Linked DNA regions of Caenorhabditis elegans. The protein of the gene in region 1 interacts with the protein of each later gene in a pairwise test. Each region holds a gene or a part of one and is shown on either strand. Other genes may lie near its edges.

Region 1 (3,930 bases):
CATTTGGCAGATGACTAGTCAAAGTTGCATTGGCTTCTTCATATTTCCAGATGAAAGTAATCTCAGGCATATTTCCGAACACATATAAAAATGATTTTCTGAAAGAGTTGAATTTTTGATATTGATGTTTGCATTTTCTTACTTGAACTCCTCAGGCATTTCCGATGAAAATGCATTTGATCCGAATGAAATCAAAACATTCTGCTTGCGTATATTAAGTATATTATTCCATTCATCACTTAATTTTGTTTTAGCCTCGTTTGTGTTAACCTGCATTCCGCCAACAAAAACAGTTTTAGGCAAAGCTGGAGACGGATAATCAATGTATTGATTTGAATTTATCAAATTAAATGCTACTCCTGTGAAAAGATCTTCCCAAGTTTCAGTTCCATTATAATATGGCTTAATCATCTCCAGCTCTTTTTCATATCTTGATCCATACAGATATTTCGTAAAAAGCATTGTGATCATGTTTTTGACACGTGCTACAAACGACATTTTGTCATCATGTGGAGAGAAAAGTCCAGGGTAGTAACTGATCGCAGCTGGCTCTCCATGAGCATACTTTACAGCGTCCTTAAATAAATTCGACTCTGCATTTATGACATTCTTGATTCCAATGTGGTCGAATAAAGCTGAAAAAGTGTATTAAATTGAAATATATACATACGACAAAAACTGACCAAATGGGCATGCAAAAAGGGATTCCGTTATTGCAAGATCGAAATGCTCATTTCTCAGACGATCGATAATATCTTTTTGTTGGAAAATATCTGTAAGCGAGAAAATAGACTAAGAATTCATTCAGAAAAGGTACTCACATTCACACTGGTAGCCTATAGCCAGGTTCATTGAGCCGACAATCTGGAATTTCGAAATGTTTTCAGATTATTTTTTCACATTAACTGGCATTATTTTCTCATTTGAGAGAAACTTTTCAAATTCAAACACGTTTAGGTTCAACAATTCGCTACCACATCGCAATCAACTTTTAAGAACTGCCACCCACTTTTCAGACTTTACAAAAAAAAATTCTGTTTGACCAACTTTAACCACTAAAGTTTTTCGCTTTTAAGTCTTCTAAAAAAACGAAAAACGGCAACCTCGGTGCGTACTAAGGCCTTGCTTCAAATACTTCATCGAAAGCAAAAAATACTAACCGTTACCAGAGACATCATTTCAGGATCCATTCTCCATACTCTTGCCCTTCCCATATGCTCAATCCCTTCTTCTTCGAAAAGTTTTCCAGCTCTCTCGTCTCTTCCTATTCTCACTACATCTTTCACTTTTTTTGAGCCAACAAAATCTTTCTTAGTTATCAGATACTCTGGGATCAGCATAGTCTGAAAATTTTCTAAAGTGTTTTTAAAGTTAATTAATGTATAACTTTTATATAAATCTTACCACATTGTGTCCTGCATCAATGAGAATATCAGATATTTTTCCAAGAAAATTAGAATGACTTGCACCATAAGCAGGATTGAAAACCAAAACTTTATACGTTAATGTAGAATGTATTAATACAAAGAATAAAATAAGAGCGAATTTCATGATCGGAGTAATCTTAACTTGAATGATTGGTTTGTAAGATAAGAAATGGAAATGTTGACTATTTGGTCGAAATTATGTGCATTTGGCAACAATTTATGACAAATTTCTATTGTGATAGACCTGCTCGTGATAGTGATAATTCAGCGTCCGGGAAAACCTCCGGCCTCTTGTTCCGCATATGCTTTCTCCTCATTTCCCACAGATTTTTACTGATGATGGGAAAGGTTTCAAATTTAAAATGAATGTCAGAAGACGAACTTTGGTTCGATTTCGAATAGTTAACAGTTAGCATATCTAACAGAATTATTAGATATGTTCACATGTAAGTTTGCGAAATATTTCAAAATATTTCAAGGTCTTCTTGAGCGGAGTGAGACTGTAGGTGTGTATCAAACTGGCCTATCTTAAAAATAGACATCTGGGAAACAAACTAACAAAAATATCACTTTTCTGCTGTACCAGTCATAAATTAACATCCATTTAACTTTAGAAGGAACAATTTGTTGTATATGTAGTAACTGAAAAGTATTTTGTCACATTTTATTATTTCATGTTTTTCATGTTTAGCCAAGTTGCAGATCGTTTTCCAAAAAAAAAAGAGTCAAAGAGTATTCCGCCTTGTAACGATTTTGTTGAAAAATGAAATTTTTCCCACCCTAACGAAATAATTTTCAAACGTTTCTTTAAAATTTTAACGAATTTCGTTTAAAGTTCGAGTCACTTCTCTTCACATGTTCCCAAACACTGCCATTTTTCAAAAAACGTTTTCCACACACGTTTGCCTTCAAAAAAAAAGAGGCCAGCCATCCATTTCTGTTTTTTTTCTTGCCAACCAGTCATCTAGTCCCGTGATTCTCTCACACCGACTAGTAGTCCGTCAAGTCCTTCATTGTGCAGCACACACACGGCGCCACGAAACGACGTCTTCTTCTGCTCTGTCAGTCTCGTCTCTGCCTGGGACATCTGACCAATAAATATTCAGAGAAACGACGGCGTAGAGGCCGCTTCGCATAGCCGCTCGCCAGTCGGCTCTTGCTTCGTCCTCCTCTTCTCCCTATATTTTGCCAGTTGTTTGTCGTCGAACACCCCTCCTCGGCCGCTCAAACACACACACGTCGCCATCGCTCGCGTCGCGGTCTCTCGGTAGTCTCGTGTGTTCTTTATTTCTCACATCGACCCTCCTGCCCATAATTAGGAAGGTCGTTGTTTCCGACATCTGTCGCCTTTGCAAACTTCTTGATTCTATTTTCCTTATCTTTTGCCCCAATTCTCACTTAATTCCCTAAAATGCCAGTGGTGAACACTGCAAACTTTGTGGACCGACTACGTGACATCACCAAGAGGATCGATATCCGTCCGAGTCTTCAGAATGTCTCAAAGCGCTGGCACAACGTTTACGATGCTCTAGCAGTCGGCTCTCCTCAACAAGTTCAGGAATTCTACAAGTATATCAAAGTATACAAACAATGTCCCGCCAACGATCTACTCTTCATGAATATGACAGTACAACTGGCTCGTGCTGCAATGTTTCCAACTAATAGCATGTTTAAGCAAATGCTCAAATTTGAGAAGCATATGGATGGACTCATTTTAGCGGAAGGAATCCATGGAGTTTATGGATCTCGCGGGGTGAGTGAATTAACTTTGATTGAATATATTATGAACCCACTGCAAATTGAGTTCTAGTGCTGAACGGGAAGTTTATGTAGATTTGCTAAATTTAATTATGGTAGTTGAAATCGGAAATGGTTGAATATTAACACGAAGAAATCAGTCGCGTATGAAGAAATGGGATGCAAGACTGATTGAAAAAATACGGTAGCGATATATTTTGAAACCCGATTTTGCTAACAGGATTCCTCTGTATTATTCAAAAATTCTATCAAAAACAATAAAAGGTCCCTTATCTAAAAGGTCCCTAAGCACAAAAATGTTAGTCTTCAAATTTTTTTCTTATCGGAAATTGTTTGAAATACATTATTATGAAATTTGTTGACTACACTCGGAACTAGAGCACGAAAATATAATATAATTGCCGTGCTAGATAGAGTTCCGCTCTGAAAGTTTCACTGGTTTTCAGATTGAAATTCTCTGTGGTCACAATGATCATTTGCTCCGAAGATACAGAAGATTTAAGCGACATTCTGAAATCAAGCGAGCTGATAAAGAGATAAAAATTGCTAGAAAAACGGTAAATTTTAACATGTTAACTTGAACTTGATTAATTTAATATTTCAGGCAAAACAAATGGCAGCTTTGAGAGAAGTTCGAGCAAAGTCAAGATCACAGAAGAATGTGCCAGCCTATTCATTTGATGATCCAGCTCTGATTCCTGGAGAAGGCCCAATTCCTGAGAGAGCTACAAAAGTATACTACAAT
Region 2 (3,930 bases), on another chromosome or scaffold:
CTTTGGCAGTAAACTAAGAGTATAGATGCCTATATAGGCACAGGCAGGCGTAGGTTGCAATGGCGAAGGTAGAAAATTTGAGAAATTAGGGCACAAGAGCAATACACCAATACAAAAAGGTCAGACAAATTACCTTCTTATTTATGTGATGAATTCTTTGGAAAGTCATATTGTAATCTGACTCTCGCATCTAGTCGCCATACCTTTTGTCTAATATTCGAAACCTTATCTACGTCGTTTTAACCACCCTCAATGCGTGTGTGTGTGCAAAAAGTGTGTTGTGTTTCGGTGGTGCAGAGATCACTGCTCCATCTTTTGATCTTTTTTCCGCATTTTCTGTTTTTCGTATATATTCAAAAGAAAACACTTTGTCCTCCTCCTTTTGCTTTGCGCGCACGCTTGCCAAACTCTAGTCTTCTTGACCACCACATCAAATCAGAACTTGTTGGTTTCAGATGAAAAAGGGGCGAGAAATATGAGAAGATCAAATGATCGTCTCTACTCTACTTGAATAATCTCAATATGCTGCTACGTGCTTGAAGTACGTAAAAAGAGCAAAAGATAATCTGTGCAATAACAGCTGATTATCGGGAGAGGAGGGCAGAGAGCTATTCTGATTGTAGGAATATGTCAGAAGCTGGTCTACGCCAACTGATCTTTCGAATTCCCCTGCCAGAGATTTTGACTAAAGTGAAGTCAGGTCAGAAGAGAAAATGTGTATTTTGTTTTGTTCTTCTGATTCTTTTTGGATCAATGAACATTTTTGAAATTGATATTTAATATAGTTTGTGTGGTATAAATGCTACGTTTATTCCCATGTTTTTTTCATTTCTGGGCAAGTTTTAGTAATTTATTTTATAGAATTCTCTTTGCAACTGATTACGAATAACTACATTTTGAAAATTGTACTTTTTATAACATTCAATTTTTAAAACTACTACTTTGTACTGTCAGCAATCAAAACTTCTTAATGAAAGTTTGCCGTACTCTTACTCTAATCAAGCGATCCGGTTTCGCATGACCTTCTCACCTTTTCAACTGCTTCACGTGACATCAATTATGAATAATGCAAACTTTCACTTAATTTTTTAAAATTTAACCGACATACATACCTGTTATAAATACAGAGCCGACGGGACGCGACTGAAAATGAATAAAATCGTGCTCCATACAATTTATGTTCTGACTAGTAAGCTTTTTCATTTTCATCCGTTCAGCCAATTTTCAAAATTTTGTACGCCTGACATGTTTTTATGCATACCGAATAAGAAATTCAAAAGGTTACATTCCACAATTTACAATTTGCAGTTAAAGCCTTTTTTAATTTTATAATTGTAAGCATTTTTTCAGTTCTGTAATCAAGAGTCCTACAAAAAAATTGGTGCACTCAACACTGTGCCCTGCTTTTCCCAAAAAATTATTTTTTTGTTGAAAAATCGTAGTTGAGAATTCTTGAACATAGGTTCGGCAAAACTGAAAAAAACACCTAGAGCTCACAGTGATTATTACAAAATTTAGAAAATATTGCTGAATCTAATTGTAAGTTTTGACGACTTTGTCACATTTTTTCTTGCCGTATTATCTGTAACTTGATCAAACAGTTGTTCCAGTTTTCCTAATAGTTTTCATGAAAAATAACGTATTTTGTACTCTTTTTCCTATCCCACATTCGATAATATTATCCACCATCATCATCAGAATTTCATCAATTTCTCCCATTTTTCTCTGTCATACAGGGTCATCGAAAGACCACGTGATGTAACGCTTTTGCAGGCACCTAGCATGACGGATTACTGTATTTTCAATATATCTTGGATGTCTGATCGTTTTGGGTGTGAAACTGGGAATGAAGACGTGCAAGAATGTATTGATAAAAGGTGGGAGAATGAAGAAAAAAGGAATAGATCAAAGAAAAAGGAAGAAGATAATATGATAGAAATTATGAAAAATGAAGATACGGTTAGGAAGACAACTAAACATGATAATCACTTATTTTGAGATCTTTTCGGAGAAAAATGATAACAAGAAAAAAAAAGAGATGATCGTGATTGTTTTATTTTTTAAATAAGAACTAATCTATTTGAGGGGTTTTCAATTAAAGACTTTTAACAGTAACTTATAAAAACACAGTATTGAAAGTTCGATTGTCGGCAGTTCATTCAAAATTGACAGATTTTAGAAGCTGTCTGCCTGCTTTGCAAGTTCACTCTTATCAGTATTAAACTGATATTACCAGCAATATATCCGCTAATTGATTAAATGAATTTTTAGTAAAAATAATTTGAGTAGACTGTAGTATATTCTGATTTGCAAGTTTTATTTGATCAAGAGTTTAAAAAGAGTCTAGTGAAGTCACATTGCATCAATTTGACAGGCCTTCTTTGTTTTGCATTATATCAATAGATTTTCGGATCTGCCAATGTTTTCAGGTGTGTCATATATGTTTTTTTGTTTGCTTTGTAAATATAAAAAAAACCTTTTTTCAAGAAAAAGTGACATGTTTTCCAGATACTGCTGCAAATTTTAACTTTGAAATAGTGTATTTTTTATTTTTCAGCGCAGAAACACGTGTAAATTCGGCGGTAAGACTGACTTGACGGCATGAACGTTCATTTGTTTATTTTCTGTAGAAAAACAGTTTTGACGAACCACTAAAACTAGATGCTTCCACGATTTCTAGAAGTTAAGCTGGAATTTCATACGCTGAATAATCGTGAACTCATGGCACAGGATTAAAAAATGCTTCCAAAAAGTTCAAGTTGTATTTTGGAATTAGTTCAAAAATTTTGGAAATCATAGACATCGGACTAAATTAAATAAGTTCGATTTTTGTCCATCTATCCATTTGCCTGTAACTTCCATAAATCACAACCAGTCCTTTGCCTCTACCAATTGATCGGATGGCGTCAATCGACTATCGATTCTTCGCCCGATGATATCATTCTTGTCCATTCCTGACCCTATCGACACGATTTTCTCATTTTATTCTGAATTCGGTGCAAACTGTACCTTTCAACATCGTCACTCTTTTTCCAGTAAATAACGGATTAGTCGGAGGGTTTTTGAATGTCAATTCCCACTTCAATCCTATAAAAATGTAAAACATTCTTCTCTGGTTGCTAACTATAAGACCAAAGATCCGAGCGTCTTGTTGACCATCGGGTCAGTAGTGCCACGTGGTGTCTCTCTACTCAATTCACACTCAATTTGATCTTTCGATCCACTCCTTTCTCTGCGTATCCACGTTGATACTTCTCTCGCCGCCCTTTGTACAAACAAACCGTCGGCAGAATTGAGAGGGAAAAGGACGAAAAGTTTCCATTTTTCAGTTGAAACGCTAGGGAAAAAGAGTAAAAGAGATGATGAAAGACAGTGAGTTTTACACTGATTATGTGTATTTTATGTTGGTCTTCAACTCTTTTTTTGCCTCGCTTTCAATCTCTCTCACTCACTGTTTCAATATCGTTTTTGACTATATTTGGTTGCAGGGAACTGTTTCTTGTTTCAATTGTCAGACTACACTTTTTTCACTGTAACAAGGAGCTTTTGTGATACGGAATAGCCATAGTCTTCAGAAATTGATTTTGAGAAATTTTTTCTTTCGTTTTTAGTGGAAATTGTATTTTTGATTTAATTTGTACTATTAAAAATGTGATAAAATTTTACTCAAACTTTTAAAATCTCGAAAATTCCCTTAATTCTATCCCTAAAATTTGAACTATTCTGTTAGTGTAGTAGACCAAGAAATGGTTTTTTCCAATGATTGTTTGATTTTCTTTTAATTTTTAAAAATATTTTTAGATTTAATATGCAACTTTAACCTTCTCAAAATAATCAGAATTACAGTTTTTTCACGCCTTCCAATGTTTTTTTTTCAATTTTGACACATTTAAATGTAATTATTTATACTGCATTCATTTTTTGGTCACA

Evidence for each region.
Region 2: the proteins of ZC443.4 (region 1) and nhr-34 interact in a two-hybrid assay, tested with the Caenorhabditis elegans proteins (one large-scale study listed by BioGRID).

The regions. Positions count from the first base shown.
Region 1 is NC_003283.11:12,817,954-12,821,883, reverse strand, and holds the start of ZC443.4 (DUF659 domain-containing protein), read left to right. Parts: upstream 1-1,997; 5' UTR 1,998-2,838; coding exon 2,839-3,180; intron 3,181-3,631; coding exon 3,632-3,742; intron 3,743-3,789; coding exon 3,790-3,930. Other genes in the region: ugt-18 (UDP-glucuronosyltransferase), read right to left, coding at 1-98, 143-635, 684-773, 822-864, 1,161-1,343, 1,405-1,551.
Region 2 is NC_003282.8:9,670,514-9,674,443, reverse strand, and holds the start of nhr-34 (Nuclear hormone receptor family member nhr-34), read left to right. Parts: upstream 1-1,773; 5' UTR 1,774-1,782; coding exon 1,783-1,877; intron 1,878-3,930. UniProt on the Caenorhabditis elegans protein: Orphan nuclear receptor.